Pelodiscus sinensis: one gene and its partners. The protein of the gene in region 1 binds, or shares a complex with, the protein of each later gene. Links are inferred from orthologs where the notes say so. Each region holds a gene or a part of one and is shown in the gene's direction. Other genes may lie near its edges. The genes, in order: RPTOR, ZFYVE28, RICTOR and MAPKAP1.

Region 1 (8,110 bases):
AAATTTGCTTTCTTTTGAGGTTGCTTTTTGTTCAGTTACATCATTTTCTGCTCAATTTATCACAAAAGCTTGACATACACAAACAAATCCCAGCCCATTCAACAACTTCAGGCAGAAAACCAATGCCTGGCAGGATTTTAACAAAAAAGTGCTGCGAACATAAAACCCATTCAACTCCTGCCCAATGTCCCAGTCTGCATAAAATAGCACCCCCTCTTCTCCCCTTTGTGAATCGTTTATTCCAAAATAATTATACATACATTTCCTCTTTTCTAAAACGTCAGGGAGTTTCAGCATGAAAACCTAGACATGTGGTGGGTACGGGGGGGAGGGGAGAATTCCCTTCAGCCCCCAGATTTGGGGAACACTCTGCTGCTGTGCATAATGTAAACAGGAATCCCCATGACCAAACTTATTTATACACTTTCACGGTACCATTTGTGTCAGAGAAATCAATCATTTTCCCCTTTAACTTATGTAAAGTGGATTCTGGATCAGACACATCCCTTAGGGGTGGATCTATTCATGGAGATTCTCTCTGTCCTAGTAAGGCGGAGAGGATGGAAAAGGACAAAATGCAGGCAGGATCTGATCAGAAACAGTGACATGAAGAAGAGTCACATTCAATTACACCAGCAGACAGCTAAAAAGTGACACGTTTTTAATGTGCTTATAGACAAAGGCTAGAAATCTAAATAATAAGATGGGTGAACTAGAGTGCCTGGTATGGAATGATGGTGTTGATATGTAAACCAGAGGCCCCGAGAAGGCTGAGTGAAGGCTGCTCTATGGCCTGAGATAAGCGCAACTTAGTTTTTTAGCTCATGTGGTAGAAGAGGCTCATGGCTTTAGCCTCTAAGGATGCAGGTTCAATCCCACCCACCGACAGCTGTTGGTTTTACAGATATAATAGGTGGTGTCCCCCTGGGACCTGTACTGGGACCAGTCCTATTCACCTGTGCAGCTGCCTATTTAACATTGTTCAAGTACTTAAGGACCCCCCATGGGACCTGCCGTAGCCTGGGGAGGATGGCCTCTTCTTTGGCCCCAACCTAATCTGGTTTCCAGGCTGCCATGGCTTAGGCAGCCCAGCCCTGAACCGTGCCATAGTAGCTCGGCCCAGCCCTATCTGCGGCACCAGGATCTGCTGTGACCAGGGCAGCCCTTCCCCAGCTCAAACACATCCCTGAACTGGAACCTATGGGGAGAAGTGCCTTTCCCTTCTAGTGCAGGTGCTGCTGCGAGGAGTGAGAGCTGGGGGGAGTCTTCTCCATCTTCACAGTAGCCCTGGAGCACCCTCCTTCACCTTAACTCTGTTTGTCAGAGGCTGGGATGGGCAACAGGGGCAGGATCGCTTGATGATTCCCTGTTCTGTTCACTCCCTCTGGGGCACCTGGCATTGGCCACTGACGGTAGACAGGACACTGGGCTAGATGGGCCTTCGGTCTGAGCCAGTCTGGCCGTTCTTATGTTCTCGTCAATACTAAATGCTGTTTGTTTTATTGTGAAAAAGTCCAACTATAAATGTATGGATACCATGAAGTTTTTTTTTAAAAAAAAATCAGGACTCTCCATATATTGTCCTGATACAATAGGATAAAAATAGGATCCAATCCTGTTTATTATGTATTATTTATTATCTTTCAGGTACTTTGTGCCAACTGCTGTAAATCAGAATAACCTCAGTGAAGTTAATGGAGCTACAACACCCATTCATGTGGCCCTTACACATCGGCTGCGTCTAGATTGGCATGATTTTCCGGATATGCTTTTAACAGAAAAGTTTTCTGTTAAAAGCATTTTCAGAACAGAGTGTCTAGATTGGCAGGACGCTTTTCCACAAAAGCACTTTTTGCAGAAAAGCGTCCGTGCCAATCTAGACGCGCTTTTCCGCAAAAAAAGCCCTGATCGCCATTTTCTCGATCGGGGCTTTTTTGCGCAAAACAAATCTCACCTGTCTACACTGGCCCTTTTGCGCAAAAGCTTATTGTGCAAAATAGTATTTCCGCAAGAAGCACTGATTTCTTACAGTAGGAAGTCAGTGCTTTTGTGGAAATTCAAGCGGCCAGTGTAGACAGCTGGCAAGTTTTTCTGGAAAAGCAGCTGATTTTCCGGAAAAACTGGCCAGTCTAGACACAGCCATAGGAAACAGATCCCTGAAACTAACTTCTGTTCTCCAAACACGAAAGGGTTATGCTCTTCATCCAGACATTGCTAGTCACGCTGATGGTCTTCTCAGAATTGTGCTGGACTAAGTCCAAGACCATGGTCCTCAAAGTTGATTTGGTTGCACAAAGATTTTGTGGTCTAAGTAAACAATTAAAAATCAGCAAAGCAGCTGCTATGTGAGGTTGAGTTCCAGCCAGAAGAAAGAAGGAAAACAATGCTTGTGAACAAAAAGAGTCAGCATTGGTAAGAAAGATGGGTATAATGTTAAAAAAAGAATTAGAAGCCCAACAGAGTGAAGCCAGTTACAAAAGTATTTGAAAAATAATTATCTGTGTTTGCTTCATTGAGCCTTGTTCACCTTTTCCGACTGTACTGGTCATGCCTGCTTTACATGCTGTGAATCTGTTGGAACAGGGATCACCTATATGTTCTGTATCTGTACAGTGCCTAGCACAATCAGGCGCCTGCTTGTATTAGGGCCCTCTGGGAGCTACTGCTAAACAAATACAAAATCAGTAGTAAGTATTTTGAGGTTATCCTCATGTGCCTGGCAAAGGAGTCTTCCTATGACAGAGCCGTTTCCTTAACTTATTAAATAAAGTAATGTATATTTAGGTTGTATTTAAAGCTTGCAGAAATTACACCTTTATTAAGTACTGTACTAGCCTAAGGCCCTTAGCCCTATGTCACACTTATATATCCAAAACATGGCCTATGTGTTGCTTAAGACTGAAGGAAAAGGAGGGAGTAATACCCTATAAACTGTAGGGTGTTTGTGGGAGTGCTGTGCAGAAAGTGGGGGTTCTGGGGTGTTTTGCGGAAGGTTGGGTTATTGAGGGGTGCTGTGCAGAATGTGGGGTTCTGGGGTGTTTTGCGGAAGGTTGGGTTATTGAGGGGTGCTGTGCGGAATGTGGGGGGTCTGGGGTGTTTTGCAGAAGGTTGGGTTATTGAGGGGGTGCTGTGCGGAATGTGGGGGGTCTGGGGTGTTTTGCGGAAGGTTGGGTTATTGAGGGGGTGCTGTGCGGAATGTGGGGGGTCTGGGGTGTTTTGCGGAAGGTTGGGTTATTGAGGGGTGCTGTGCGGAATGTGGGGGGTCTGGGGTGTTTTGCGGAAGGTTGGGTTATTGAGGGGGTGCTGTGCGGAATGTGGGGGGTCTGTGGTGTTTTTCGGAAGGTTGGGTTATTGAGGGGTGCTGTGCGGAATGTGGGGGGTCTGGGGTGTTTTGCGGAAGGTTGGGTTATTGAGGGGTGCTGTGCGGAATGTGGGGGTCTGGGGTGTTTTGCGGAAGGTTGGGTTATTGAGGGGTGCTGTGCGGAATGTGGGGTTCTGGGGTGTTTTGCGGAAGGTTGGGTTATTGAGGGGGTGCTGTGCGGAATGTGGGGGTTTTGGGGTGTTTTGCGGAAGGTTGGGTTATTGAGGGGTGCTGTGCGGAATGTGGGGGGTCTGGGGTGTTTTGCGGAAGGTTGGGTTATTGAGGGGGTGCTGTGCGGAATGTGGGGGGTCTGTGGTGTTTTTCGGAAGGTTGGGTTATTGAGGGGTGCTGTGCGGAATGTGGGGGGTCTGGGGTGTTTTGCGGAAGGTTGGGTTATTGAGGGGGTGCTGTGCGGAATGTGGGGTCTGGGGTGTTTTGCGGAAGGTTGGGTTATTGAGGGGTGCCGTGCGGAATGTGGGGTTCTGGGGTGTTTTGCGGAAGGTTGGGTTATTGAGGGGTGCTGTGCGGAATGTGGGGGGTCTGGGGTGTTTTGCGGGAGGTTGGGTTATTGAGGGGGTGCTGTGCGGAATGTGGGGTTCTGGGGTGTTTTGCGGAAGGTTGGGTTATTGAGGGGTGCTGTGCGGAATGTGGGGTTCTGGGGTGTTTTGCGGAAGGTTGGGTTATTGAGGGGTGCTGTGCGGAATGTGGGGTTCTGGGGTGTTTTGCGGGAGGTTGGGTTATTGAGGGGTGCTGTGCGGAATGTGGGGTTCTGGGGTGTTTTGCGGAAGGTTGGGTTATTGAGGGGTGCTGTGCGGAATGTGGGGTTCTGGGGTGTTTTGCGGAAGGTTGGGTTATTGAGGGGTGCCGTGCGGAATGTGGGGGTTCTGGGGTGTTTTGCGGGAGGTTGGGTTATTGAGGGGTGCCGTGCGGAATGTGGGGTTCTGGGGTGTTTTGCGGAAGGTTGGGTTATTGAGGGGTGCTGTGCGGAATGTGGGGGTTCTGGGGTGTTTTGCGGAAGGTTGGGTTATTGAGGGGTGCTGTGAGGAATGTGGGGTTCTGGGGTGTTTTGCGGAAGGTTGGGTTATTGAGGGGTGCTGTGCGGAATGTGGGGTTCTGGGGTGTTTTGCGGAAGGTTGGGTTATTGAGGGGTGCTGTGCGGAATGTGGGGGCCTGGGGTGTTTTGCGGGAGGTTGGGTTATTGAGGGGGTGCTGTGCGGAATGTGGGGGTCTGGGGTGTTTTGCGGAAGGTTGGGTTATTGAGGGGTGCTGTGCGGAATGTGGGGGTCTGGGGTGTTTTGCGGAAGGTTGGGTTATTGAGGGGTGCTGTGCGGAATGTGGGGGGTCTGGGGTGTTTTGCGGGGTGCTGTGGGGCGTTTGCAGGGTTTGGGGTGTTCTGGAGGGGAGGTGTTTGGGGGTTCTGAGGGGATAGTCTGGGGCACCCTTTGGAGGGGGTCACCCACGACACGCCCACCCCCAGGCACTGGGCCAGCAGGCTGCGAGGAGGAGGCTCCGCTCCCCCAGCCGAAGCGCGGTTCCGAACGCGGCCGGCGCGGCTTGTCTCCCGCGGCGGCCCGTCCCCGCGGTGCATTGTGGGCCGCGGCAATATGGCCGCCTCCTTGGTGTGCGCCTGAGGGGAGTTTCATTCGCCGGCGCTGCGGGACGGGGCCCCTCCGCCGGGGGCCGGAGCCAGCGCGCGTGGGGGAGGAGCCGGGGGAGGGCGCGATGGGCCGAGCCCGGCTCCCGCCGCAGCAGCCGGGGAGCGAGCCCTGCCCGCGGGGCTAGAGGCCCGGGCGCCCCGAGTGCTCAGCGACCCCTCCGCGCTGCCCGGGCCGAGGAGACGCCGCTTGCCTGCGGGCGCCCCCTGCACGGAGCCGGGTCGGGCCCCCCCGCGCCTGGGACCCCTCCCCCTCCTGCCCCTGAGCCCCGCCCGGCAGAGGGACCCGCCCGCCCCGGCCTGTGCGGGGGTGGAGAGCGCGGAGCCCTTGCGGCCGGACCCCTCCCCCCCTCTCCCGATGGAGGCTGAGATGCTGCAGTCGCCTCTCCTGGGGGTCGGAGGGGAGGAGGAGGAGTCGGACCTGACGGACTGGAACTTGCCTCTGGCCTTCATGAAGAAGCGGCACTGCGAGAAGATCGAGGGCTCCAAGTCTCTGGCCCAGAGCTGGAGGATGAAGGACCGGGTAATGCCCCGGGGCGGGGGACTTCTGCGGGGGGAGGGGTAGGTGGCGGCTCTGGTTTTGATCTGCCCCATGTGGTCGGAGGCACCGCTAGAGTTTGTTTCTAGTAGTCAGGTTTGCCTGGGGCCCAGGCACTTGTTGCATCGCTACCGTGGAAGTGAACACACGAAGAAGTTAATAGTGACGGTTACCAATGTTCCCTCTCATCTTTTCCATCCATGTGCGGAATACATTGGGGTGCACACAGAGGCAGGTGTGAATGTGCACCACTAGTAGAAACCCAAAACCTAGTTGTGGGTGCTCTGCTGATCAGCCGGGTGGCAGTTGAGCCTCTCTTGAGTGGCGGCACAAACACACAACTTAAAAGGAAGACTGTTCGAGTTCCTAATTATATGCATTTTAAATAGCTACACTGAGTTTCTGCGAAATTGGTGCTCTTCTGAGAAAGTAGTGGCATTAGTGGTGTCTTAAAACAGACCTCACTGGTTCATGTTAGTGGCATGGGCAGTGGGTGCAATGAATGCAAGTATTATATTCTGTGAAGTTCTCCTTTGAGGTTTTTTTAGTCCTCCATTGGCATGTTGCATGGAGTATATGAGTGATGCATGCTTACCAGAGCAATGTCAGGCTCATGATGTTTTTGAGATGGAAGATGCCTATTTGATCCTTAAACATGTTAACCTACAAGGCAGGATATTGTTTCTTGACCGAATATCTACAGAACATTAAATGGATGCTGTATTATGTAGGGATGTAAAATCCTATTTAATTGGCTAACTGGTTAAGCATATTAACTAATTAAAGGGGAGCTGAGCAAAGGCAGGAGCCTGGCTGGAGCACCACCCTCCCATGCATAGCAGGCCCCCTGTGGGGCTGGGGCAGCCCATAGCAGGTGGGGAGCTGCTCCACTCCCCCACTGGTTAACTTTAACCTGTAAGCCACACCTGTTAAGGATGAGACTGGTTAAACCTTCACATTCCTAGTCCTAAGCTTTGCTACTAAAAAGCAAACTTTTCTCTCAGGCCCATGTAGTCCTCTGTGGCTTGATTTCTACAGTTAAACTTTTCTGGTTAGATATAAAAGTGGAATGGAAAAGAGTGTGCACTTGATCTTCTCTCAGAACTGGCTATAACTTAAAGATTTTCTTAGCTCTTGGGTATATACTGCCTTTGTGTGTCTGTGTATGGACACCTAGTATGTTTCCAAACCACAGTTACCTGATAAACAACTAACTTTCTCAATTCATTATTACTGTAATCTCGAAAAAGGTGTTTTAAGAAGCAATTCTATATTGGGCCTCTAGTGGTGGACTAGATGGCACGCAATAGGTAGTGTCCTACCAGATTTATGGTCCATTTTTGCCAATTTCACCATCCTAGGATTTTGAAAATAGTAAATTTCATGATTTCAGCTAATTAAATCTGAAATTTCATGGTGGTGTAATTGTACACCATTACAATTACAGAGCCAAAAAGAAATTGTGGGTCTGGGTGTCACGGGATTATTGTAAAGGGGGAGGTTACAGTACTACTACCCTTACTTCTGCATGATTGCTGGTCGCAGTGCTGCCTTCAGAGCTGTGAAGCTGAAGAGTGGCAGCTGCTTGACTGGAATCCAGTTCTGAAGGCAGAGCTGCTACCAGCAGTACTGCAGAAATAGGGATGGTTTGCTGTGGTATTGCCACCCTTATTTCTGAGCTGCTGTCTACAGTCAGCAGCTGCCACTTTCTAGCGGCCCAGCTCTGAAGGCAGCAGCACAAAACACCCTTACTTCTGCGCTGCTGCTTTTATTTTTGGTTTTCTTGTTGTTACCACAAATAATTATGATGTTAGAATGTTCCATAATTGTGATAGAATTCTTATTTAATAACCACCTCCTCCGCACATCTTCCCCAAATTTCCACAGACACTTCAAATCTCTGGGAATGTTGAGATGACTTATTATTGACAATGTTAATTACAGTAGGGTTTTAGGAACACCAACATTAGGCCCCCATCTGTACAGTGTAGTACAGTGTCTGCTCTGAAGAATTTATAGTCTAAATAGGCAAGATAGACAAAGGGTAGTGGAAAAGGATCTAATGTACAAATAGAATGGACAAAATGATGACAGCAGTCGTACTAGTTCCACAGTATTTTTGGAGGGGAAGGGTTTTAGAGTACTGGGTACATGGGGAGGGTGCATGGGATAAGGAGGAGAGGAAGGGGTAAGCATGGAGTGAAGCTGAGGTAAAGAAACTGGGTAGAAGCTTGGAGCAAACATTCAACCAGCACAGATGAGAACAAGTCCAATCAGAGCTGTAGAAAATATCCTCTGATCCTGCTTAAACAGCTTCTGTGTATGCTTTGCCTGATTTCATTTCTGACTGGCTCCTCCCTATAGTTTTTTTACCCGAAGGGCGGATGGTGGGAGAGGAGGCGCTCTCTGGGTTCCATTGTCCCTACATAGTTCTGGGTCCAGGGGCATTGTGTGTGTAGGACTGTAGCCCCATTTTATTTCCTGGATCTCTGGTGCAACTTCAGCTGGATCATGAGATATTGAAGGTTTCAATTTACATAAGAGACATAGAAATGTC
Region 2 (7,133 bases), on another chromosome or scaffold:
CTGTCTTCAGTAAAATAAAAAGGGAACCAAATTCACAATAAGGTGGAAGGCCATTAAAAATCAGTGAAATCCACAAACTGGCATCCCTCTGTTTGCAAAGTATAATAGGATATTTTCTAATTCTGAGCTATTAAAAAGTTTTCAGTATCAACAGACATTTACCCTTTACTACCATACCCAGAATTTCAATTAATAGCCTTAAAAGGTTGCAATCCTATTTACTTGAGGGGAATTACATCTGCTTAAATCAGGACTGAATACGGTTCTTGTGAAATTCAGTAAGATTGAGTAGATCCTGCTCAAAATGACCCAGATGCTTTTCTCATTTCTGTGGCACAGAAGGAAATAAAACCATGAAAACTGCAAAGAATGTGGGGTAAAAAAACTTAATGGAAGGGAAACATGGCTACACCAAACCACCTCCACTTACCATATAACTTTCTGCACCCTTAATATTTAATCACACCATTTCATGGTTATAATCAACTGGAGTGGGGGAATAGCTTCTCTTTGTGGCATGTTTTTGTCTTACACCAGCATAACTTTAGATGGAAATGGGGTTTTTAAACACAAGTAGTATGTGCAATAGCAGTTATTCTAATGGGACACATCCGAACAAATGCACAAGACAAAATTCACTCTGCTCATGGGAGGAAAATCTTAGAGAGAACGCTTCCTCCACTCTCTCCCTCAGTTAATGCAAAGCAAATTGGGTTAATGCAATTTCAGGATAGTAGCATGGGCCAAATCCATGAGGGCAAAATCCATCTCTATTGGTAGAAGGATGGTGGGAGGAGTTTTTAGAGGGGTCACACGACACCCTTTACTTCTGGTCATGTGTCCATCTTGACCCTGGGAGCACTATCTCCAGGGTTGGGGCTTCTTTTGGCAGGGGCATAGCTAACATGTCCCTAATTTAATGCAGAAAATATAGTCACCATATTCAGAAAGCATCATCAGAAGAGGCATTCATCAAATGATCCATCCCCCTTTGCCTGTTCCTAGCATTTCTCAACACTGAATTCCATCTGCCATTGTGTTGTCCAGTCACCCAGTTTTTTGAGGTCCCTTTGTAAGTCTTTGCAGTCAGCTTTGGACTTAACTATGTTGAGTAATTTTGTAGTACCTGCAAATTTTGCCATCACAGAATTTGCCCATTTTTCAAGAACATTCAAAAATTTAACAGTACTGGTCCAAATGCAAATCCCAGCAGCACAACACTCATGGCTACTCCTTTCCCTTCCTCCCTAGCTTTTAAGTACCTGGTAATGTTTTCATGATGGTCTAATGATCCCTTAATTACTTAAATGATCAGTCTTGTTATTCTTAATCATCCTGCCTCCCTCTTTTTCTAACAAACTCCCTGCCCCAAAGGCAAAGCTGCAAGCAGCTCAAACTCTACTGCAGTTAAGAGCTGCCTTTGGACCAGGGCATGCAGGTTTAAGCAGACCTCAAGTATGAAATCCAGGGGTTCAAACTTGGTAGTAGGGGATACTGCCCCCCTCCTGAATGGCACCCATGGGTGCAGAGCTGTCTGGAAGGCACTGCAGGCTGTCTGTATCAACCCCACCTCTTCTTCCTGAGGCCCCCTCCCCTTTGAGGAGCATGGAGGGGTCCTCTCCTCCCCCCCAACTGCCCATTGCCCAGGGGCCCAGAAATCCTGTCAGGTCCCCTGGCCATTAGAATTCTGGTTAACCTCTACACAATGAACTCAATTATTTTCCCTTCACTTATGCACATGAATACACATCCGAATCCTTTTTGTCTTCTCTCCTGTGTCTATCAAAAGTGTATTTATGGTTATGTATGTAACAGATGATGTTTATCTGTGTAAGGTATGTCTACTCTGTGGTAGGTCAACTAGAATGATGAACCTGCTACACCTCTGGCTAAGAGAGTTGAATTTTTTAGCTCAGGTGGTAGAGATTCAAGTACTAAGATCCAGAGGTCTTAGCTTTGACCCTACTGTCATTGACCCATCCAGGCACTGGCATTACTACTGGTGGCTCTAGTGAACTGAACTGGGAAACCTCTGAGCTGTGTGCAGGGACTCAGAAGGCAGGGAGTCTGCCTGAGGAGCCTGCTGGACTTCTGGAAGAGAACTGTCTAGGTAAGCACCTCCTGGCCAGAGCCTGCTTTTGGATTTCCAGTGCCTCTCTTCCCCAATTCTCCTACCCCCCTTCTGCACACTACCCCACGTAATTGAAACCCCCTGCACTTCCACTCCCTCTCGCAAACCCTGCATCCCAATCCCCTGCCCCAAGTCACAACAGAAAAACCTGCACCCCCTCCTACACGGCTCCTACAGGTCAGAATCCTCTCTAGCACTCATACCCCCTCCAGGACCCTGCACCACAATCTCCTGTCCTATTACTATAGAATAGTGGCTTTCCTCCTTCATCCAAACTCCCTCCCAGAACCTACACTCCCTACTGCAACCTAGTCTCCTACTCCAAGCTCCTTTCTGAATCCAACCTCCATCCCACACCACCTACATTAAGATAATGGAAGAATGCAGCCTTTGCCCACTTACCAAATTCTTGGTGTGACCCCCCAATCAAAAATTACTGCCCACCTCTGGTGTAGGTCAAAAGTTTCTATCTCACATCAAGGGAAGTACATCCAATAAAAGATACTTGCTTACCTACTTTGTCTCTCATGTGTTTTTAGTACTTATCATCATAAAGGACCCCAAAGTGCTTCAGAAACATGCCTTGGGATATGTCAACGTTATGCTTGTGGAGTAATTAGCTACAATTTACCTGTCCTATTTTAGCAATTTTACATTGACATATTAGCTGGAGTACTTGCATGTATGTAATGCTCCTTCTCTACCTGCTGTCTCTCTTTACTCTTACAACAGGGATCTTGTCTGGAAAGTGCCCAGGACGTGGGGAATATCACCAGACAGAAATAAGGATGAAAAACAGCCACCTCCTAAGAGGAAGGGGAGGCCACCAGCAAGTCTAATAAGCTCCACCGCAGTGTGGGAGAGGGAAAACTTTACCAAAGGATACTCTGTTCTAAACAAACAAACTGCAGTAAAGCAGCCTTTAAAATCTGTGCAGGATGGACACAATGTGGCTTTTAAGGTTTCCTTTTCCAGTGCTTAATTTGCAGTGAAGCAGCATTGGGTTTCATCCTGAAGACTCGCACCGAGAACTAAATATCTGCCAGCCTCAAACAGGGAAAGGGCTGGGGCGAGCTCTGGAGTGGAGTTTTCCTTCTCCCACCCGCCTCCCCGAGCGGGCTGTGATGAGACCTTTGTATTTGAAGTTGGAGGCTCCGCATCCCTGAGCAAGGGTCACAGCAAGGGTCACCCTCCCCCTCACACCCAGCCACCCACTCACCGCTGGAGCCACAGCAGAACCAGCACAGTTCACCCGGAGACTGCTCGGTTCTCTCCAGACATCTAGCAGCGTGGGGGCGCGAAGGCTTCTGGGGTTTGTAGTCCACTTAGCCGTCCGCCTCCATCTCTCCGAATGGTCCAGGGAGCGGTAAAAAACTACCAGACTAAAAGAGCGATGGCGGCGAATGTTTACCTATTGTCGCCTAGCAACTGAGCACTGGGACTGCAGCTGGTGGATTATTTTAACCCCAGAAACTGCCGGAATCCAAGGAATTGGGTGGGCTATAATCATGATGTGCTTAAGTAACGCTTGAGTAACAATAATAGAATTGCCCTATGACAAGACTACAAGTACCAGCGCACAACGCGCCGCCCTTATGTCAGTGGCCCCTTGGGCTGGGGAGGGGAGACGAAGGGGAAAGACGCGTGGCATGCTGGGACTGGTAGTCCCTCCGCCCCTTGCACTGAACTCGCTAAGGGTGAGGGATCCATGTTACGCAAATGAGCAGCCGCGTGGGAGGAGTAAACGCGGAGGGGGCCCCCGCGGCCTCCTTCCAATTGGTCCGAGAGCAGAGAGCGCTGGCCAGAGCTTGAGCGGGCCTGGCCGGGCGCATGCGCCGGCTGAGCGCTGCTGCTGGCGGCACTGGAATGTTTGGGGGGCTGTCAATGAAGAGAGGCGCCGCTGTCGCTGCCGGCCGGTGCCTGGGCAGGTCAGCCTGAGGGGGCCTGCGGGATCCTCGCTCCACCGCAGGGCAGAGCCTCCGTCCCGGCGCCTCGCCAGCCTAGGGGTGGCGTGGGCGGGTTGCCCATCCCCGCAGAGCAGCCCGAGGAGGGGACGGAGTTTCGGCGGGTCCCCCTGAGGTGCCGGGGGGGAGCAAGGCTCCGCATAAGCCCCCCCCCCCCATAGCAGCCGGGGCGGGAAGCGGCCGTGGAGGCAGCAAGCGGGGGGATGATGAACAGGTTCCGAAAGTGGCTCTACAAGCCCAAGGTAAGTTGGGAAGCAGGTGGCCTCTCCGGGCGCGGCGGCTCTGTTTTGGGGGTGCCCCTGAGGTCAGCCCGCTGGAGGGGGAGGGAGCGCCCGGTGCTTGTGAGCGCCGCTCGGGTCCCGGGAAGAGCCGGCCGAGGCGCTTTGTAGGATCCCTGGTGTGAGTGGAGCCCTTGTCGGGAGCCCCTTGCACGGCCTGGCTGTGCCGGGGGTACCTGTCCGCGGTGCCCGTCCCCGTGCATTAATCTAGGAGCTGCTGTGGGTAGAGGAGGGAGCAGGAGGTGAAGGGTGGGTTATTGTCTAGGTCTTACCGGGCAGCTCGCTGAGGTGTTGCAGCGCTAGGGAAGAGGTCCGAGGAAGGGTCTGGTAGTGCCTGCCTTTGTGGGGGGTGCTTCCACAGGCTCCCCTGCTCAGTGTATGGCGCTGACTCGGGATTTCGGGAACCCGCCGCACTCGCAGCCTTCCTCATCTTTCACGGGCATCCCGTGATTTGCTGTGTCTTCAATTTACCACAAATTACGTCCTTGGCAGTGGAAGAGTATGCGGGTTTTGCTTTTAATTACAAAGTAGACGCGGTTTTAAAAAGGAGGCAGCCGCGATCTGTAGAGATACGGGATCTTGTTGTATTTGTACTGCTGATAATAATCCACTGTGGCTTCAGAGGCAGCTAATCGGAGACAGCGAAGGAGGAGCTCGGATTTGCAAGGCACCTGCATTCGAGTGAGCGTTTTCTCAGCGCGTCAGGAGAGCCCTTCAGGCAGCTTATTTGCTCAAGGAGGCGAGATGACAAAGCAGAGCATGTGCTTTATTGTTGTTTGGACCTGGCAACAAAAGAGGATGAGGGGGAGGCTTTCTGATACTGTTCTTGGGGATAGTTGTCTGACTGGAGGATTCCTTACTGTGTCTTTCTATGATGATGATGTAAAGATGCTGGATTAGTGGGTGAGACTTACTGTTCCAGAGTAGTCTTCAGTTACTAGGCAGTTCTTTATTCCCTTTGGACTTCTAGTTTCTATTAAACTCCTATAACAGTTGTTTACTATGTTGTTACATATAATGTGCTTGCCATTTGGAAAGAGATTAGAATGTTCACATTGTCAAATGCAGCTAATACTATATTTTAGTGGAATACTACTATATAACGTGAGACCTTCTAAGTGAAGATTTTGTTACATTGCAGTTTGTGGATGGATGTCTTCTGGTGGTGTTTTGCCTCAAATTAATTAATTTAAAACAGCATAAGGCAAGATTTGTAAGACAGTTTACGTGAGAATTATCAGACGCTTCTGAAACAGGTAAAGTAATGCCAGGAGTCTGGCGAGCAGTAGTTTTTTCTGTATGACATTCTGGTTGTACATTAAGGTGGTTAATATTTTTGGATAGCTGTTGTATCTTGCTGATGTCTAGGCAATGAATGGAACTACCTGATAATGCAGTGTTTTATGATATGAAGTAACTAATCTATTTTAATATGGTGTGAAGTCTCATATTAAATATTTCAAAAAATGGTTGCTATTTTCATCCAAATAATTAGTCCTTTAGTTGTATATTTGTTTGATGCTCTAAATAATAGTTTAGGCAATGCTGGTTTTGTAGAATTTCATATATAATCATAATCCTGATTAAATATCCCTTTTTGAAATGTTAACAAGTGTTAACTTAGAGAAATTGGAGGCAGGTGGAATTTTTCTTTGAGTTGTTTATAAACTTGATATAGCGCTTTGTATTTAGTCACCTTCATGGTTTCCCATCCATAGACAGCTTGTTCTTTGTGCACATCTTTTACCCAGCAGGGGAGAGAGAAACCATTAAAAAAAATCCAGGAAAACATTTTGGCAAAGACACAGATTTGTAGAACTCACTGGTAAATGCATTAACTGATGCTGCTCTTTTGAAATGATTCAGATTTTAAAGTGAACTGATGTTGGTTTAAGAGACATCTAGTTTTGGTTAAATGGATTTACTGTAATTAATAGCATGTTCTTTGAATAGTATTATTTCACTTAATTTTTTAGCAAAGGAAATTCTCAAACCTGTGGTGAAGTATTCATCATCAAAGTCATTAACATTTTAAATAGCTCATTTTTAATGGTGTAATTGCTCTTAAAAAATAAAAAAACAAAGTTGCCTCCCTCCCCAAAGCATCACTTTTGTTCATATATGGTTTGCTTATAAGGATAAAAGTAAGTTATTCTTGTGTGCATTATATTCACAATCTGTTTTGTTGATTGTAATTGGTAATTGTGTATTCCTCCAGAAACAGCTACCTGTGAAATAAGTATCTGTTAAAACTTTTGTTACTGTAACATATTTCTTAAAGTAACACAACAGGGAGAAATACAGACTTAAAAAACAAGTTAATTAGAAATTAAGATGGGAATTTAGGATTAGTGATGCTACTCGTCCATATATTACCTGATTATGCCAGCTATTTTCCCCTTCTATTATCTGGCCTGAAATGTCTCAAGGATCCCTGTAGTAGTTGGTTTGTCCCACGGAGCATTCCTATATAATTTAGCATGGACACCCAGGAGGTGTGGGTGCAGGGTGGGAGGGAGCTAGACAATGCTGGATTTGGCTGCAGTGAGAGATACTCTGTACATTTCCTTGTATGTGCCAGAGATTATGAGGTATTCTTACACTTCTCCATAGTGCATAGGTGACACATTGGGTCACCTTCTTTCCCTTTATTTTAATTGCTGAAGCCAGGTGTCCTCACTCTGCTCCTCCTCACCAGGCATGGGTCACCTTTGCCCCCAGGAATAGAGCACTCCCTTTTTAGTCCTAAAGCTCCTAGAA
Region 3 (8,168 bases), on another chromosome or scaffold:
TTGTGATGCAGCAGCCAATAAATAGGACTATGATTCGGGTACTGAGTTTCATATCCAATAGAATATGAAATTAGGCTACATGCTTTTCTTCTCTCAGTATCATCCAGGGAGTTTTCTCCAGCATCCAAATAGGATGGCTAGGTGCAAGAGAGCCATAATCACGCATCTCACTGAGGCAAGCTGAAAAATGAAAAGTGTCAGGTGTGTTCTTTTGTATTCCATCACTTTTTTCTACCTCTTTCATTACTAGAGTGCATGGTGACAATAAAGCCATTTTGTACTATGACAGTAGCTGGTTCTTATGCTGTACATTAAGTCCAGTAAACAAACTCAAGGTGTTAATCTATTTCCAAGAAAGGTCAAGAAGAGAGATGTGAAATTCATAAAAGAGTCGCATATATACATAAACTTCAAAGTTCATCAGGTTTCTAGCTGTATTAGTGAGTTTGCTGGCTTGAACCTTCTGGAACACATCCATAGCTTGGATGGGTCATTTAGTTCAGAGCTTATTTGTAGAAAGGTTATGCCAGAGATCAGGGGTGGCCCATGAGCCTAAGCAAACTAGGCAGTTGCCTAGGGCGCCACTGGCCCGGGTGCCCGACGATGATGTGGCAGGCGGGGGCGCTGATCGCACTTTCTGCCTGGGGCACCAGCCACTCCTGCTAGAGGTAAGAAACACTAAAGACAAAATGGAGAAGATGAAGCTAACCTTTGCCATGCAACTTGTATTTCCTCTTTTCCAAATACAATCTGCCCAGCAGTGACCTGGAAGCCTTAGAGTTCTATCCATAAACATGTCCCTACATGCCCTGTTGAGTCAGAAGGTGTAGCCCTTGACCTTTTCAATTGATTCCCTTTACTGTTGCTGTTCCTTGATGAGTCATCAAATAAGGTAGGGAGCAGTGATGCCAAGCTATCATCCAGAAGCATAAACACCAGTCTGAAATACAGACATACATACATACCTATAAGAAACTCATAATACAAAGATAATACAAACACAAACAAGATTATCATACTTGGCAAATTATAACATTTTTGCACATACCTTACAGGGCATATCTGACACAATTTTTTTGTGATTTTACAATACTGGTGTTCAAAATATCCTGAATTGTCCCTCGATTCCATATAGCATCACAGTACATAAGGATTGAAATTGTGCTGTTCCCAGTCCTGCGAAGGCTGTTCTTTCCAGGGCATGAACTTTGAAAGTCACCAGATAGGGGAGCAGACTTCCTCTACAGCAGACTTCTATGAAGATCTGGCAAATATCCAAGTGGAAGTTACTTTCTCTGTAATAATTGGTGCTTGAAAATAAAACCTCAACTTTTTTTAATGTTGCAAAATTGATTTTCCTCTTGTCTTCATTGGAGTGGAAATAAATATGGCTCTCATTGGTATGACACTACTTTGTGGATCATCATCATAAGCAATTTTGGTTTTTATTAGCAGAGTTGTTAGACTGAGTTTATTAATTAAACTATTAATAGAGATATAGCCTAGTCTAGTCTAGCTGAAACAAAAAACAGGACTATGTAGCACTTTAAAGACTAACAAGATGGTTTATTAGGTGATGAGCTTTCGTGGGCCAGACCCACTTCCTCAGGCCCATGAAAGCTCATCACCTAATAAACCATCTTGTTAGTCTTTAAAATGCTACATAGTCCTATTTTTTGTTTCATTAATTAAACTGTGATCCCTCTGCTAGCTGACGTTGTTTCAGAGCAAAACAAAAGCAAAACATTATCCCACATTTAAAAAGTGACTCTTTTTTAACTACCCCTATTTTTGGAAGAATAGTGGTAGAGTTCTTTTTAACACGAGTGAGTGCCTGTATGGCACAGATAATGGGCTTAATAGTTTATAATTTTGTAGCTCACAGGATTCAAACAGAGTGCTGGGACAATTTTTATTGTGGGAGTGCTGAAAGCAGAAACCTTGTACATTTGAACCTACTTACTTTGGATGTCTCTAATATAAGAACATCTATGGTATGGAGGAGGAAGTGGCTATTCATGCTGCTGCTTTTCCTTCTGCCAAGCTGGGGGGAACGGAAGCATAGCGATGTGCTTCCCCTGCAGCTTTTCCTCGCTGTTCCCATAGCAGTGAGGGAACAGGCTCTGGGAGCAGCATGAGGCATAGAAATGCATGTACCCCTGGGAGTGGGGCATCAGGTAAGTGCCCCATTCCCATCCCCTTCATGCCCAGACCCCTCCCTGACCTGGCATATCTTTACTCATAAGAACTAAAACAATGTTTCCTTGAGGAAGCAAAGGAGAGGAGAAATAAGCAGGAATATCCTATTTGACTCCATCCAGGATAGATTATCCTTCCTCAGGCCGAAACTAGGACTAAAGACATAAGAAAGGACTCATGCATATAAGCCTTTTATTTGTTTTACTCTTTGCTCTGTGTGTTTTATACCTTGGAGGAATGAATAAATAATGCTTTATTTTGAATATGCTATTTCTGAGTATCTGCAAAGTTATACTGTCCCACACTTCTGTAGGAAAACAGGTGATAACATCAAGTTGGGACTATTGTAAATAGGATTGCAAAGCAGGGGGCTTCAGCTAAGCAAGCCAGTATAAGAGCTGTTGTATGGAATGGACCCTCATGCCCTCTCTCACATTGACTGGCTAAAGTGCAAGGTACATTGACAAAGCTGTATGAAGAAGTGAGAACTACATTGTCCCAGTTTTATAGCTTGATGAGACTGATATCCAGAGCTCTCAATCCCATGGCTTTCAAACACATTAAATTAATTTCTAAGAGTTAACAAAGAAAATGAAAGTCAATTTTAATGGTATAATCATATTTTTAAATCAAACATGCTTGTCATGATCTCAATATAGACAAGATGATTTTTATATCAGTGCTCGATTTTCTTGAAAAAGGATTTTTTACAAAAAATCTCTAGTCCAGCAAGCTCAGCCTGGATTATGGAATTATTCCAAGGCTCTTCCTATCCCATAACATTACCAATAATAAAGGAACTGAAAGTTAAATTAGGACTTCAACTACATCTGTGCAACTTGTTTCTTCCAATTGATTTTCAGAGGCATGTAACCAATGGAAATTCAAGTAAATAATTCTGTTGATGATGTTGTGTAAAATACAATCTGTAGCTCATTCCCTTTTAGCTGTGTTGGCTCTGCAAACAGCAGTCAAAGCTTATTTTAGTCACTAACATTAGCAAGAGGAGATGTCAGCACTAGATGATTTGATGGAAAAATACAAAGAGTACTGTTGAGTAAGACAATGACATTTTTGTATAAAAACTTTTAAGAGTAAAATTGCACTTTGAAAAGCGCAGAGCTCACTTGAGAAGATTAATGCCATTTTATTTTAATTTTGTGTGTTCATAGTTTAATGTCATGGCTTGTGTGCTAAGTTCTTTAAACTCTTCTTCTGCATAATAAACAGCTATTTTTCACAAATAGACTTAAAAATCAAATGTTTAAAATATAAAGGATAATTTCTATCAGTTTATAATATTAAATCGTATCTTTGGTATGGACAAGGCTCAGTTGAATCAATAGCACATGTTGCCTGGGGTAGATGAGATTGCCTGAGTAATTTCATTCTTCTCTGTGATTTCTAAAACAGATATTGGAGCATTGTCTTTTGACCCAAGTGATCTCTCTTTTAGAGGTCTCCAAAGTTGCACTCCTTCTTTTCAATATGTATGTTTATTCATAGGGTAAATTATGAATAGTTTTGTGTGGCAATGCTGTTCACATACACCTTATCTATTTTTTTCAGTGGGATGATTGCCTCTTTTGGGGTCTATGTGTCCAATAGGGAAAAAGTGCTAGGATAAGAGACAGCACAGTGAGATGGTGGATAAGATAATGTAATAGTTCAGAATACATGATATCAGGTGGACTTCAGAGAGAAGAGAATGGTTGGCAACCTGCTTAGTATCAGCTGCAGGACACAAAGCTGTTATTCTAACTTGAGCTTGTAAATGCAATTCAAGGTGTTCACGTTGATCTATACAGCTCCATGGCTACGTCTACACTGGCCCCTTTTTCGAAAGGGGCATGCTAATTTTAAACTTCGGAATAGGGAAATCTGCGGGGGATTTAAATATCCCCCGCGGGATTTAAATAAAGATGTCCACCGCTTTTTTCGGCTTGGGGAAAAGCTGGAAAAAAGCGTCTAGACTGGCCCGATCCTCCGGAATAAAGCCCTATTCCGGAGGATCTCTTATTCCTACTTCCTACTTATTCCATCTGTGGTCCTTCAGAAGCAGAGTTTCCTGACCTTCAAGGCATGTTTTAAAGCACTTCTGCTTACTTGGTCTTTCGCCATGCATGAGGGTATAAAAGATGTGGCGTTTCTGTGTTGGGAGACCATATAGTTAATGAATTGACTTAAATCTTTGAGCATGTGCTTAATTTGTTAAATATTAGAATTTTATAAAATATTAAATGAGAGAAATACATCAGTATATAATATTAGATAAATACTCCCATTATTTTATTTAGACCCATAAAAGCAATGTGGAATTTTAATTTTGTTCTTGTTCTTTTTAATTAGTCTACATCTGAAAATAAAAATTCCCTGACAAATATATTTGACATGGAACATGTCCAGTGGTTCTACTTATTTGAATTATGACCTTGTCATTGAGCAAGTGCAGTTTGTTTATTTTTTGTACCTGACTTAACGGTTCAGCCACGACATCTTAAGATGCTGGTTGAGTCTGTCATGTAGGAAGGCAGTTTCCAGTACTGTAAGCTCTTCTGGGAGGGAGACGGGGAAGCATTTTGCCATATTTTCCTCAAAGGTGTAGAAATAGATTGAAAGCAGCACAACAGGGTAAGTGACAGAAGATAAGGGCAGGCTGAAGTTTTCTAAAATGTTTGTTTTACATCTACCATTTTTGGGCCTTTTCATGAACAACAGTTTCATTTGCACTGCTTACCGGGTCAGAGGTAAAAGCTGCTGGAGAAGTCTGCTAAAGTTACAAGGCTAGAAAAGTAACATCTGATCTAGTGCCTTGTTGGCAACACTTCTTATCAATAGTTGTGATTGTCTGGCGGGAGGTAATCAAATGTTTTTGTTTACCCTGAAAGCCCTAGCTCCTGCTGGAATTCAGTGAGAAGTCCAGCTCCCACTTAAGAAACAGATAAAGAAAAAACCCTCCAGTCCTCCTGGTCGCAGAGGCGCAGCCACGTGCTCCAAGTCCCACCAGACGCAGACAACCTCCCCACCATTGATACACAGAAACCACCTCGCGCTGTTAAGTCCAAGCTCAGGCTCTCTGGATTCTGGGGCTTTCCAAGACTGTGAAAGACTCAAGGGGCTGGAATGGGAGCAGGGCGGGGGAGAAGCGGCAGGCGCGAGCCAAGCGGCGGGGACCCGGGTCGGTGAAGGCGGCTGCCCCAGCGCTGTAATTTAGCCCGTGAGGCTCCCCCTGCCTTGGGAATGGGAGCAGCGAATGGAGGGAAACGCCCCTCGGGGTGCTGAGGGAAAGCGCTCTGGCCGGAGGGACGGGCGATGTGTATGTGGCGGAGGCCGACAACTCCCCCAGTCACACCAGGCTCATTCGCCGGCGTTTCAACTGCCAAGCCGGGGCCCCGCTCCTCGTGCCCGCCGCCGGCCGCTCCGCGCCCCCTCGCGACAGGCCGGTAGGGGCCGCGGGAGTCGGCGGCGGCGGCTCTGTCTCCTCGCGAGAGCGGGCGAGGTTTCCGGTGTTGTGACTGCGGGGCTGTAAACATGGCGGTGAGCCTCCGCGCCCGCTCGCTGAGGCACCTCCGCATCCGAGGTAAGGAGCCCGGCTAGGCCCGGCGGGAGGCGCCGCGGCTCCTCCACCGCATCGTCCCTTCCCCGCCCTGGCTAACAGGCTCTCCGCTTTCCCTCCCCCTTCCGCAGGTCGGAACGACAGCGGCGAGGAGAACGTCCCGCTCGATCTCAGCCGAGGTAAGCGGGGCCGGGGGCGCCCCGTGCGGGGGGGGGGGGGCTGGCCTTGGGGAGGCCAGGCTGGGGTGTCACTAGGTGCCCTAGGAGTCCAGCTCCGCCCCTACCCTACGTGAGGTGGGTAAAACACGGACCCTAAGGCGCGGCCGGGGCGGGGGGGCCTGGCCGAGGGAGGCACGTCCCGTCCCATCCCATCCCTGCCCTGGGCGAGGGGCTTGTGTGCGTCACGGGGGGCTGCTTAAGCCACATGAGAGGTGGCTGCTTTGGGGCGGAGAGCCCTGGATTGCTGTCCCAGGTGAGAGCGGATTTCCGGCCCGTCTGCAGTCCTGACACTGGCCGGTACCCATGGGGAGTAGGCTTCTAGTGTGTAACCAGATTGCAGAAGCACTGAGAGGCAGGAGGCTATTTTCAGTATTACAGTCTGGATGGCTGTAGTGAAGAGGTGAGGTTGTTGCTAGGGGTATATGGGTCACCTCCCCCATCTCTGTGGGTGAGCGTGGGATCTGGTACATATACATTTCTCTCCTTCCTCTGTACTTGTTGGTAGAAGCCTCCTTTCTTCAGGGTAATTATTTACTGGCTGCAGGTGGTGGTGTTTTTTTTTTCTTATGGGGTTTGGACAGCTCTCCAGCCCAAATCTCACCCAAGTCAACCTACAGACCCACCTCATTTTGTCACTGTGTATCAGATGGTGCTTCAACAATTTGTAATAAATGATTTTGGGGCTATGATAAGTCTTGTAGCCGTCACTTCAAACCTGTTCCATATTTGTTCTAGTGGGATCAGATGCAATATTTAAGATTAGGATTAAAAGTCCCTGGGGGTAACCTGTTAGTTTGTAACTTTAAAAACAACCAACAGTCCTGTGACACCTTAGAGACTAATACATTATTATCATGAGCTTTCGTGGGTAAAATCTATACTCATCTGATAAAGTGAGTTTTATCCATGAAAGCTCATGATACAATATATTTGTTAGTCTGTAAAGTGCCACGGGACTGCTGGTTGTTTTAAAGATTCGAGTTGTCAGTACTAGTTAACACAAGTGATTAATTTAACACAAATTAACTTGATGGAAATTTAAATCATTATTAGTTTTAATTGCATTGTTAATAATAGAATGCCAATTTGAGTTTATTTATATTTTTGGATTTTTACATTTTCAATAATGTTGATTTCAATTACAGCACAATATACAAAGTGTATAGAACTTGCTTTGTATTTTTAATACAAATATTTGCACCATAGAAAAGAGTATTTTTCAGTTCACCTCATACAAGTAACCCAGTTCAATCTCTTTATCATGAAAGGGAAACTTACACATTATTTTGTTTTTGAGTATAGCTATGTAATAAAAAAAAAAAGTAAGAGTCTGAAACCTACAAGTCCACTCAGTCCTACTACATGTTCAGCCAATCACTAAGATAAGTTCGTTTACATTTATGGGAGATAATGCTGCCAGCTTTTTATTTACAATATCACCTGAAAGTAAGAACATGCAATTTTGTGGCTTGATTGTGTTGCAATGTAATTGCAAAGAGATTGCATGCCAAATATGTTAAACATGTTTATGCCTTTTTATGCATCGGCTTGTTGTGTACATATTTGTAATAAAAAAGTAGTAATTAGGTCTGTCAATCATAAACATGTAATCACCTCAAAACATACAAACATTTTTTTAACTAGCATTAATTGCACACAAGGATGCTGCTGCATGCCTCTGCACAGGTAGTTCTTTTCCCCCTGCCCTGCTCCGCTGCTGCTCCTGATTTCTCTCCTCCTGCATACCATGGAACCATTATTGGCCAAGCTGCAGTGGACTAAGATCATGTTTTCTGTCTGCTGTGCCCAGTGGGGGTGGGGAGGAGCTGATTTTGGGGTCTTCACTCCCCCTGCCTATGATCCCAGTTGCTGCTGAGCGAGGGTCATGGTATGGTGGAACCTGTCTGCTGTTGGCTCAGAAGTGAGTGCTGATGATAGCTGCTGCTGCTGCTGGCTGAAAAAGTGTTCAGGGTCCTGAAAGCTCTGCTTAAAGAGTCAGTGCTCTCAAGCGTGTGCGCGCGCGCGCGCACACACACACACACACACACACACACACACACACACACCATGCCACTATCAGTAACATTGAAATGTGTTTTTATTATTAAACAATGCAATTAAAACTGTGATTAATCATGAGATATAAAAAAGTCACAATTAATCACACTTAATTTTCTAATTGTGTGACAGCCCTA
Region 4 (8,194 bases), on another chromosome or scaffold:
CAGCAGGGGCACATGGAGCCCAGGTCAGCTGGGACTTCCTAGCTGATCCCAGGCTCCATGTGGCATTTCCAGTTTGAAATGCACAAGAGCCCCTGCTGGGGACTCTTGTACATTTAGGCTCCATGCAGGTGCTTCCCCTTTGAAATGTACAAGAGTTCCACCTTTGTCCATCCACTAGTAAATGAATCAATATTTAACATCCTTAGCTTGGTCCATGGGGTGCCCAATTCCCCCATATCCTCTACCCTTCAGGTATGAAGCCATGGGGTGCCCAGCTTCTTCTGATCCCCTACTCTTGGGCCTCGGAGCTATGAGGTGCCCAGCTCCCCCTACCTTCCGTCCTTGGGACTGAGGTGATGGTGTGCCAACTTGAGGCTTCGCTGCACCACTGATATTTGGGGCTTATGACCCATGGGGTGGCTGGGTCCACTTTTCCTTCAGCCAGTAGTGAATCAGGGTTGGATGCAGACCTGGTCAGTGTCCCAGGTTCCGTTGGCCCTCCCATCCCTCCTTTTCTGGCTCCTCAGTCTCAATCCCTGGTTGGCCCAACCCTGAGCCATATCAAGAGATGTGGCCAGTTTTTAAAAGTGACCCCATTAACTTGAAAATTGGCTTTGTGCTATAGGCTTTGACCTCACAGGTGCTCATATGCTTACTAGGGCCATGTGGCATTGATGGGGGATTCTGCCAGAAGATTACTCTTGGCAAATAGAAATATGCACTGCTCATATCCATTCAAAATGCAGCTGCAGGAATATTTTTTCCTAGATTGTCAATGAGATCATGTCATCCCTTTGAATCCCTCCATTGGTACCGTCTCTATCAAATCAAACATAAGCAACTTGTTTTCATTTTCAAGGTCCTTCATAGATTATCCCCATCATTTCTCATTCATTGTCAAAATGCCAACTCCCACCTTGCCCACTGACACCAGCCTCCATTGTCCACTTGTTACATTTTCAAACAAGCACCTTTGTGCCTTTGACAGTGCTGCCCCTCACACTTACAAGAATCTCCCTGCAAACATCCACAAAGCTACCGCATTGATCTCCAGAAACTCACCTTCACCATGACGCCTGCAAAAATGGACAGCAGTTACACCATCGGCAGTCTGAAACCAGTCGGTCATAATTAATAATATGCTTTTATTCCCCATATGTTTTTATCCCTCTGTTGTCTCGTTTTCTGTTTTGATTGTAAGCTCTTGGGGGCTAGGATTGCCTTTTATTGTGTTTGTTCAGCACCAATCATAACAAGGTTGTGATCAATGACTAGTGAACATGGCTGCTATGGTAGTACAAATAAACAATATGTGCCAACTATTCGTGTACAAACTATAGTAATTACAATTAGTGTTTTTCAGTTACAGTTACATAGGTAGAAAGTTTGAAGGAACAATAGCTCATTATATTTGAGGTGACCTATAACTCAAACTGTTGGGCTAGATAAACTGGCTTTTGGCCTGCAAATTGCTGGTTGTATTGTGAAAATTTAGATGAAAATTAGTCAAAGTTAGAAGAGGAATAAAAGTGGATTCATAATGTAATCTGCTTGCCCCGTAAACTATAGAGAAACTGTATGTATGGCAGGGTTATTAAAAATCAACAGGTATTTACATCAGGCCACACAGGTTAGTAAAGATGGGAATAGAACCCAAGTCTCTTTTCAGAAACCTACAAATTAATCTGAAAGAAGATCTATCAGATGAATAGCCTTTATTATTTGTATTATATTTTTCCTGTGTTTGAAACTATTAGATACCGTTTGTGATATTTTTCAACTTGGTTTTCCTATTTAAATAATTTTATTTGAATTTTGCAGCAGTTAGTGTAGCATAATTAATTCTAATATTTATTAAAATAATTTTAGATGCCATAACATTTTACTATTATTTATTGTCACTTTTAAAATATTACACAAAATATATTCCAGTGCACATTAGTAAATAAATTATCCTTGTAATAGCTAGTGCATTTTTAATTATAAATTTATCCATGTCTCCCTTTATTTATGATAGTGATTCTCTGTACTGCAGTACAGTATACCTTTGAGACACTGTAAATTACACATTCATGGACATTGCATTTCACAAAATATACCAGGAATCTGATTTTTGAACATGCTTAATATTATTATTATTAGCAGCTAATAATGATAATAGCAACTAATGTGAGCATTGGCACTCAGTGCAAACTGACCCATAAACTGCAGTGCCAATGTCCACCTTTTGGAGGAGATTGCATTCTGTACATAGAATCAATGAGACACAATAGGCTGTATTGTATGGCTTGTGTGCACTTAGGTCTGTCAAAATGGATCGCACCGAAAAGCAAATTATTCCCAGCAATGTCCATTTCTTCCAGTTAAAGGCTGGCAGGCACGACTTAAGTAGTTATCACTTGTGGAATAGTTTCTCAAAGAAAGTGATGAAAGCTGCCACTCGGGACATTTAAAACTCGTCTGCACCAAGTCATGGAGAAAAGGCTGTAATTCACTGTACAATTATGTGCATTGAAGATGTACAGAGGTTCTAACTCATATAGCACATAAAAATCCAGCACCTCTTTGGGGTGGGTCTCCTTGAACTCATTGTGTCCTGTGCATTGATCCCCATACTAACTCCTTGTACAGTTTTATTGCCAATTGAAGATAATTGTCCTAATAAAGCTATCAAATATTCAGGACCAGCTTGATCATCAAATATATCATTCATTCATTATACCATCATGCCTGGGCTACACTTAAAAATGTTGTAGGTAGAACTATATTGATTAGGAGTGTGAAACCACCCAAAGGTGCTGACATCCCTTCTAGCCAGGCGGTGCTAGATCTCCCCTGTGCTTCAGGCCCTGCTCCCAGTCCCACTCCTTTGCCCATATCCCTGCCCCACCTCTTCCGGGCTCCACTCCACCTTCCCCCCTGAGTGCACCTGGTTTCTTGCTCCTCCCTTGCCCTCCCAGCTCATCTTAAACTGCAAATCAGCTGTTCACAGGAAAGTGAAGGGAGGAATTGGTCAGCGGGCCACTGCATAGTAAAAAATAAAAGCTGTAATAAGTCAATTTCAATTGTAAAACTTTGAAAGAACCATAAATGTTTTTTTCAGAGTTAGGAATAACTTCCATTCCCAAGGTGTTCAAGAACTCAAGTTCTATAGTAATCTGTTTGCTGGTACAGCTTATTTCAGTTGATGAACCAATACCAGCCCCCCCAAAAATATTGTCTGTGCAAGTTGTGTTTTCACTTGTTCTGCCCTTTTTAGGCTATACAAGGGGTAGCTGTCTGCACTTCTCTGAAACAACAGATCCCACAAAGCACAAAATGAAGCACATGAAAGCCAGAGACTAAAGGGTATAAAATGAGTTCAGATTGGCCTGCTCTCCTTTAGAGAGTCTGACCATGTTTGGGACACATTGCAAAACCATCCTCTTTTATAAGTTTTGCTACAATGACCAAGATTAATGTGTGGCAGAAAGGAACAACCAAAGTGTATCAACAGAAAGTTAACTAAGTGCATGCATAATTTACATGGGAAATAGTGACCAATTACAGTGACGAGCACTATAGAAAACCCCAGCATGAATTCTACATTGGCCTGCTAAACCCAGGGTTGTGAGTTCAATCCTTGTAGAGGCCATTTAGGGATTTGGGCAAAAATTTGTCAGGGGTGGTACTTGGTCCTGCTGTGAAGGCAGGGGACTGGACTCAATGACCTTTCAAGGTCCCTTCCAGTTCTAGGAGATAGGCAATCTCCATTATTAAGAATACCTTTCCCCTTGAAACATCTGATCCTGGTCATTGTTTGGAGGCAAAGTACTGAACCAAGTAAATCCCTGGTCTACTGTAGGTTAGCAACTTGTGTCCCCGAGAAACAGGTAGGCTATGTCTATACTGTGCCTGTTTTGTGCAAGAAATATGCAAATGAGGCTGTATAAAATATTGCTGAGCCTCATTTGCATAATTAACAAGGCTCCATTTTTGCACAAGGGGCTTTTGCAGAAGAGCCGTTCTTCCTGAAAAAATGAGGAAGAATGGCTCTTGCGCAAAAACCTCTTGTGCAAAAATGGAGCCTTGTAAATTATGCAAATGAGGCTCAGCAATATTCTAGACAGCCTCATTTGCATATTTCTTGCACAAAACAGGCGCAGTATAGACATAGCCATATTGAAATAACCCAGTATGAGAAATCTGGGATGCAAATTTATCTTAATTACACTATTTTCTTGGCTGCATTTGTTGGGTCTTTCTTATGTCATACCTCTTATATTGGCCAAACTGGTCAGTCTCTATGACAAAGGATAAATGGACACAAATCATACCTCAGAAATGGCAACACACTTAACCTGTAGGGGAACATTTTAACTTGCCAGGTCACTCATTCATCGATTTAAAAAGTAGCCATTGTTCTACAACGGAATTTCACTAAGCAATTACAGAGAAACCAGTAGTCCTGCGCAGGGATGTAAGTGACAAGGGGTGAGGCTAGATGGCCCTGTGGTCTGACCCAGTACGGCCGCTCTTGTGCACCCTGGCTAGTAGCCAACTCCCCGGTGAGCCTGGCTTACTGGACAGCTGGGTCACTATTCGACTGCTCGCTTCCCACCTTGCTGCCTCCGCAACAGAGGCAGCAAAGGGGGCGGGGCAGCAGGGGCTGGGGCAGCTTAAAAGCCAGTCCCCCCCCCCGCCCCGTCTCCTCAGAGGGGGGGGCGTGAGCCGGGGCTGCTCAGTGCGGGCTGGGCCCTGGCCCCCACCAGTCCGGAGCGCCGGGCCGGCGGGGGGGGCGGGGCCCTGTGCTCGCGCGGGACCTGACGCCGCAGCCGTTGGCCTCGAGAGCCGCAGGCCGCCCCGCTGTTTTCCGTTACGCGCGGAGGGGGCGGGGCCTGCGCGGCGGCTAGTTACTCGTTGGCCGAGTGGCCCCCGCGCATCGCTCCGCGGTCTGAGGCACCCGAACGAGGCGCCTTGGCCAGGGCGGGGGCGCGGCGCGGCCACGTTCCGCGCGCATGCGCAGAGTGCAACGTCTACCCCCCCCCCCCGAGGCCAACGGCGTTTGGCCCCGGCTTTGCTGTCTCCGTCACTTCCGCTCGGAGGTTGTGTTTCCGGGTTAGCGGGGGCCATACCGCTAGCTGGCGTCGGCAGAGCCTTCTGCGGCCCCGGAAGCGGCCCCGCCGGTGGGGCAGGAAACGGCCCCGGCCCCGCAGGAGGGCAGCGCCCGCCAGGCCTGTAAGTGGGGACGGGCCCCGCCGCGCCGCGCGCCCGGCCCCTCACGCTGGGCAGAGCGGGGTCGCCCCTGGCCGGACCAGGAGCCCGCCCCCCCGCCAGGCCGAGGCGCGGAGGGAAGCCCCGGGGGCCTGTTCCCGGCGAGCAGCGCTGAGCCCCCCCCCCCCCCCCCCCCCCCCGCCCGCCCGCCCACAGGGAGTTGGCACCAACCGCCGCTTCCGCCTCCTCGCGCCGGCGGCCCGTGAGCGGGGATGGCACGTGGCCGCCCGGCCCGGGCGTGAGGCTGAGACCGAGCCACAAACAGCCGCTCGCTGCCGACCGACAGAGCTGCGAGACGTAGCGCAGCGAGCCTCGTGCCGAATAGCGATCGAGATGCAGCCGGGTTAGTCTGGTGCAGCTGAGACACAAGGCAGGACTGGGCAGCACTTCAAAGACTCACAAGATGGTTTATTAGGTGAGGAGCTTTCGTGGGCCAGACCCACTTCCTCAGAGCAAATAGTGGGTCTGGCCCACGAAAGCTCATCACCTAATAAACCATCTTGTTAGTCTTTAAAGTGCTGCATAGTCCTGTCTTTTGTTCGAACCACGTGTTGTTGCCGAAAGGCGGTAACTACTAGAACCCTTAGCATGCCTGTTAGGGCACAGTTCTGTTGCTAACTCATAACATTGTGTGGGTGACAATGGGGCGTCAGCTCCTGTGACTTAGAGATTCTTCTGTAGAATCGTACATGTGCTCTGCCTAAAAGTCTTACTAAATGCAAGAAACCGTTATTCTGCCTTTAGGGTTTTTGAGAGACTTATGTCCACATATCAGAATCCTGTACATATGCAATTAGTGTGGTCTATTTAGAGAGCTTTATGGATGTGTCGCGTTATAGTTTATAAAGCCTACTTAATGCTCGCCAATCCTTTTGCAAGATTTCATGGTAATGGCACAAATAAGTAGAGTAAATGGACAGTAAGCTATAGTTGGGATAAACAGTGTAGATCCAGTGGGCTTCTAAGAAGTGATTTGAAAGGGGAAAATTTGTGAAGATTTGGTGGGACATGATTGAAAAAAAGGACTCGGGTGCATTATAGAACTTGAGAAACTGTTGGCAGGCTTTGGTTTAGATCAGGTGTGGACAATAAAATAGCAGCATTTCCGCAGCATTAGCCCCCTTTGAGCCGCTGACACTGTATTTACCTCACTTTCACAGGTATGGGGGGGGGGTCATGATTCCCATTAGTTGGGAACGGTGATCGGCGGCCAACAGATGCGGTGCTCCTCCATATCTGTGCAGGTAAATATGGCGGTTACAGCGGTGTGGGAGCCCGCCAGGTGCTGACTCTGACAGACTGGATCCAGCCGGTGGGCTGGTATTTGCCCATCCCTGGTTTAGATACTGAGTTTCTGATTCCCATAAGGAAGTACAATGGACCTGATATCCTGGGATAATACTGTAATGTATTCCATTGGGTTCTGCTATTGCACTCTCGTATTAACATATCCTGTTGTGTGAGCTACTTTGATTTGGATCACCCAACCCCCTCTAAGATGTTACCCTGGCAGTTCAGGGTGCTTGCAGTGTAACCATTAAAAGTGATGATACTCTGTGTATTTGCTGGTCCCTTGCCTTGTTTTCTGACACCCATGAGAAGGGGTTGCCAGAAAACTGCAGTGCTCACGTACTGTGGGAATTTCAGTATGGGAGAGGGTGTGGTATATTTTCTATTAAGACGAAGATAAGGTTTGAAATTAATCTTATTAAAATAAGCACTAATTGGTTGTCATCTTGGCCAGGAATATTATAGGCCTGGATGCCCCAAATGGTTCATCATGTGGTTTAGTTTACAGACAGTTGTCAAGTAGACTATTTTCAGTTTAGCTCACCTTTTATTTAGGTCCTGTCAATACTAAGGATGTTAGTGTGTACTCGTTTACATGATTAACCAATAAGGCTGGGCTCATTGGTTAATCCTAACAGTTACCTGCAGTCCCCCAGTGGTGCCTCTGTATCAGAGACAGTGGGGGCAGGGTGGAGGGCGAGAGCCACTTCCCGTAAGGAGCTGGCTCCTGCAGAACCGCCTCCCCCCGCTGCCCAGAGAGGCAGCAGCGCAGAGAGGAAGGTGGGAGGCAGTGCTTCGTGGGACCTGGCTTAAAAGCTGGCTCCGCATAAGCACCAGCTCCCTCAGACCTGCCTGCCTCTCATAGAATCATAGAGCTGGAAGAGATCTCAGGAGGTCATCAAGTCCAACTCCCTGCCCAAGGCAGGACCAATCCCAACTAAATCAACCCTGCCAGGGTTTTGTCAAGCCGAGACTTAAAAACCTCTAGGGATGGAGATTCCACCACCTCCCTAGGTAACCCATCCCAGTACTTCACTGCCCTCCTAGTGAAATAATTTCTTCCTAATATCCAACCTAGACCTCCCCCACTGTAACTTGAGACTATTGCTCCGTCCCTACTGTGAAACAGCCTTTCTCCATCCTCTTGGGAACGATGATAGAGAGGCAGCAGTGCTGGGAGTGGGAGGTGGCACATGGGAACTGGTATATGCGGGAAGCCTTCTTTCAAGTCAGCTGCCTGTGTGTACTGTCTCCCAGGGAGCCACCGGTCACCCATGCTGCTGCCCCTCTAACAGAGGCAGTGGGGGTGGGGTGAGGAGCAAGGGGGAGCATGTGGGAGCCGGTTTAAAAAGCGACGCCTGCCTGCCCCCACATGTATACTAGTAACAGCTAAAAAATTCAGCAATTACACATTTATTTTTATAAACCTGTAATCGATGAATGTTTAACATCTCTAGTCAATACACAGGCTGGAACTAAAATAACTACATTGGTTGTAATTAAAACTGTCCCCATTATTTTAGTGCAAATCTCACTTCTTTGGGATTGCTAGTGTCCTGTTTAGGGATGTTAAATTGAGGTTATTTTAGTAGTTGAGTAGTGGATAAAATTTGTATCGATTACTCAATATGGGAAGGCAGCCCCTCTCAGT

What was found.
Region 2: the proteins of RPTOR (region 1) and ZFYVE28 are in contact, whole or in part, in a cryo-EM structure (PDB 9F43), measured with the Homo sapiens proteins. The link is inferred for Pelodiscus sinensis from reciprocal best matches to the Homo sapiens genes RPTOR and ZFYVE28. Residues at the interface, in NP_065812.1 of Homo sapiens: Arg54, Arg305, Arg306, Thr317, Asp321, Phe337, Arg338, Leu341, Ala344, Arg348, Leu437, Gln438, Leu440, Leu441, Ser442, Gln443, Arg446, Pro474, Tyr475, Lys478, Leu479, Gln481, Ser482, Ser483, Ala484; in NP_066023.2 of Homo sapiens: Arg399, Val400, Phe401, Phe402, Met403, Asp404, Asp405, Val406, Glu407.
Region 3: RPTOR (region 1) and RICTOR share a complex: the UniProt entries of both Homo sapiens proteins name them as parts of the mechanistic target of rapamycin complex. The link is inferred for Pelodiscus sinensis from reciprocal best matches to the Homo sapiens genes RPTOR and RICTOR.
Region 4: RPTOR (region 1) and MAPKAP1 share a complex: the UniProt entries of both Homo sapiens proteins name them as parts of the mechanistic target of rapamycin complex. The link is inferred for Pelodiscus sinensis from reciprocal best matches to the Homo sapiens genes RPTOR and MAPKAP1.

Annotation. Positions count from the first base shown.
Region 1 is NC_134730.1:28,325,327-28,333,436, reverse strand, and holds the start of RPTOR (regulatory-associated protein of mTOR), read left to right. Parts: upstream 1-4,943; 5' UTR 4,944-5,373; coding exon 5,374-5,538; intron 5,539-8,110. UniProt on the Homo sapiens protein: Component of the mechanistic target of rapamycin complex 1 (mTORC1), an evolutionarily conserved central nutrient sensor that stimulates anabolic reactions and macromolecule biosynthesis to promote cellular biomass generation and growth.
Region 2 is NC_134715.1:117,544,771-117,551,903, forward strand, and holds the start of ZFYVE28 (lateral signaling target protein 2 homolog), read left to right. Parts: upstream 1-3,940; 5' UTR 3,941-4,298; coding exon 4,299-4,337; intron 4,338-4,645; exon of another isoform or gene 4,646-4,774; intron 4,775-4,995; exon of another isoform or gene 4,996-5,629; intron 5,630-7,133. UniProt on the Homo sapiens protein: Negative regulator of epidermal growth factor receptor (EGFR) signaling. Acts by promoting EGFR degradation in endosomes when not monoubiquitinated.
Region 3 is NC_134716.1:104,047,348-104,055,515, forward strand, and holds the start of RICTOR (rapamycin-insensitive companion of mTOR), read left to right. Parts: upstream 1-5,168; 5' UTR 5,169-5,730; coding exon 5,731-5,779; intron 5,780-5,886; coding exon 5,887-5,934; intron 5,935-8,168. UniProt on the Homo sapiens protein: Component of the mechanistic target of rapamycin complex 2 (mTORC2), which transduces signals from growth factors to pathways involved in proliferation, cytoskeletal organization, lipogenesis and anabolic output.
Region 4 is NC_134732.1:25,319,089-25,327,282, reverse strand, and holds the start of MAPKAP1 (target of rapamycin complex 2 subunit MAPKAP1), read left to right. Parts: upstream 1-5,061; 5' UTR 5,062-5,217; intron 5,218-5,496; exon of another isoform or gene 5,497-5,596; intron 5,597-5,791; exon of another isoform or gene 5,792-6,497; intron 6,498-8,194. UniProt on the Homo sapiens protein: Component of the mechanistic target of rapamycin complex 2 (mTORC2), which transduces signals from growth factors to pathways involved in proliferation, cytoskeletal organization, lipogenesis and anabolic output.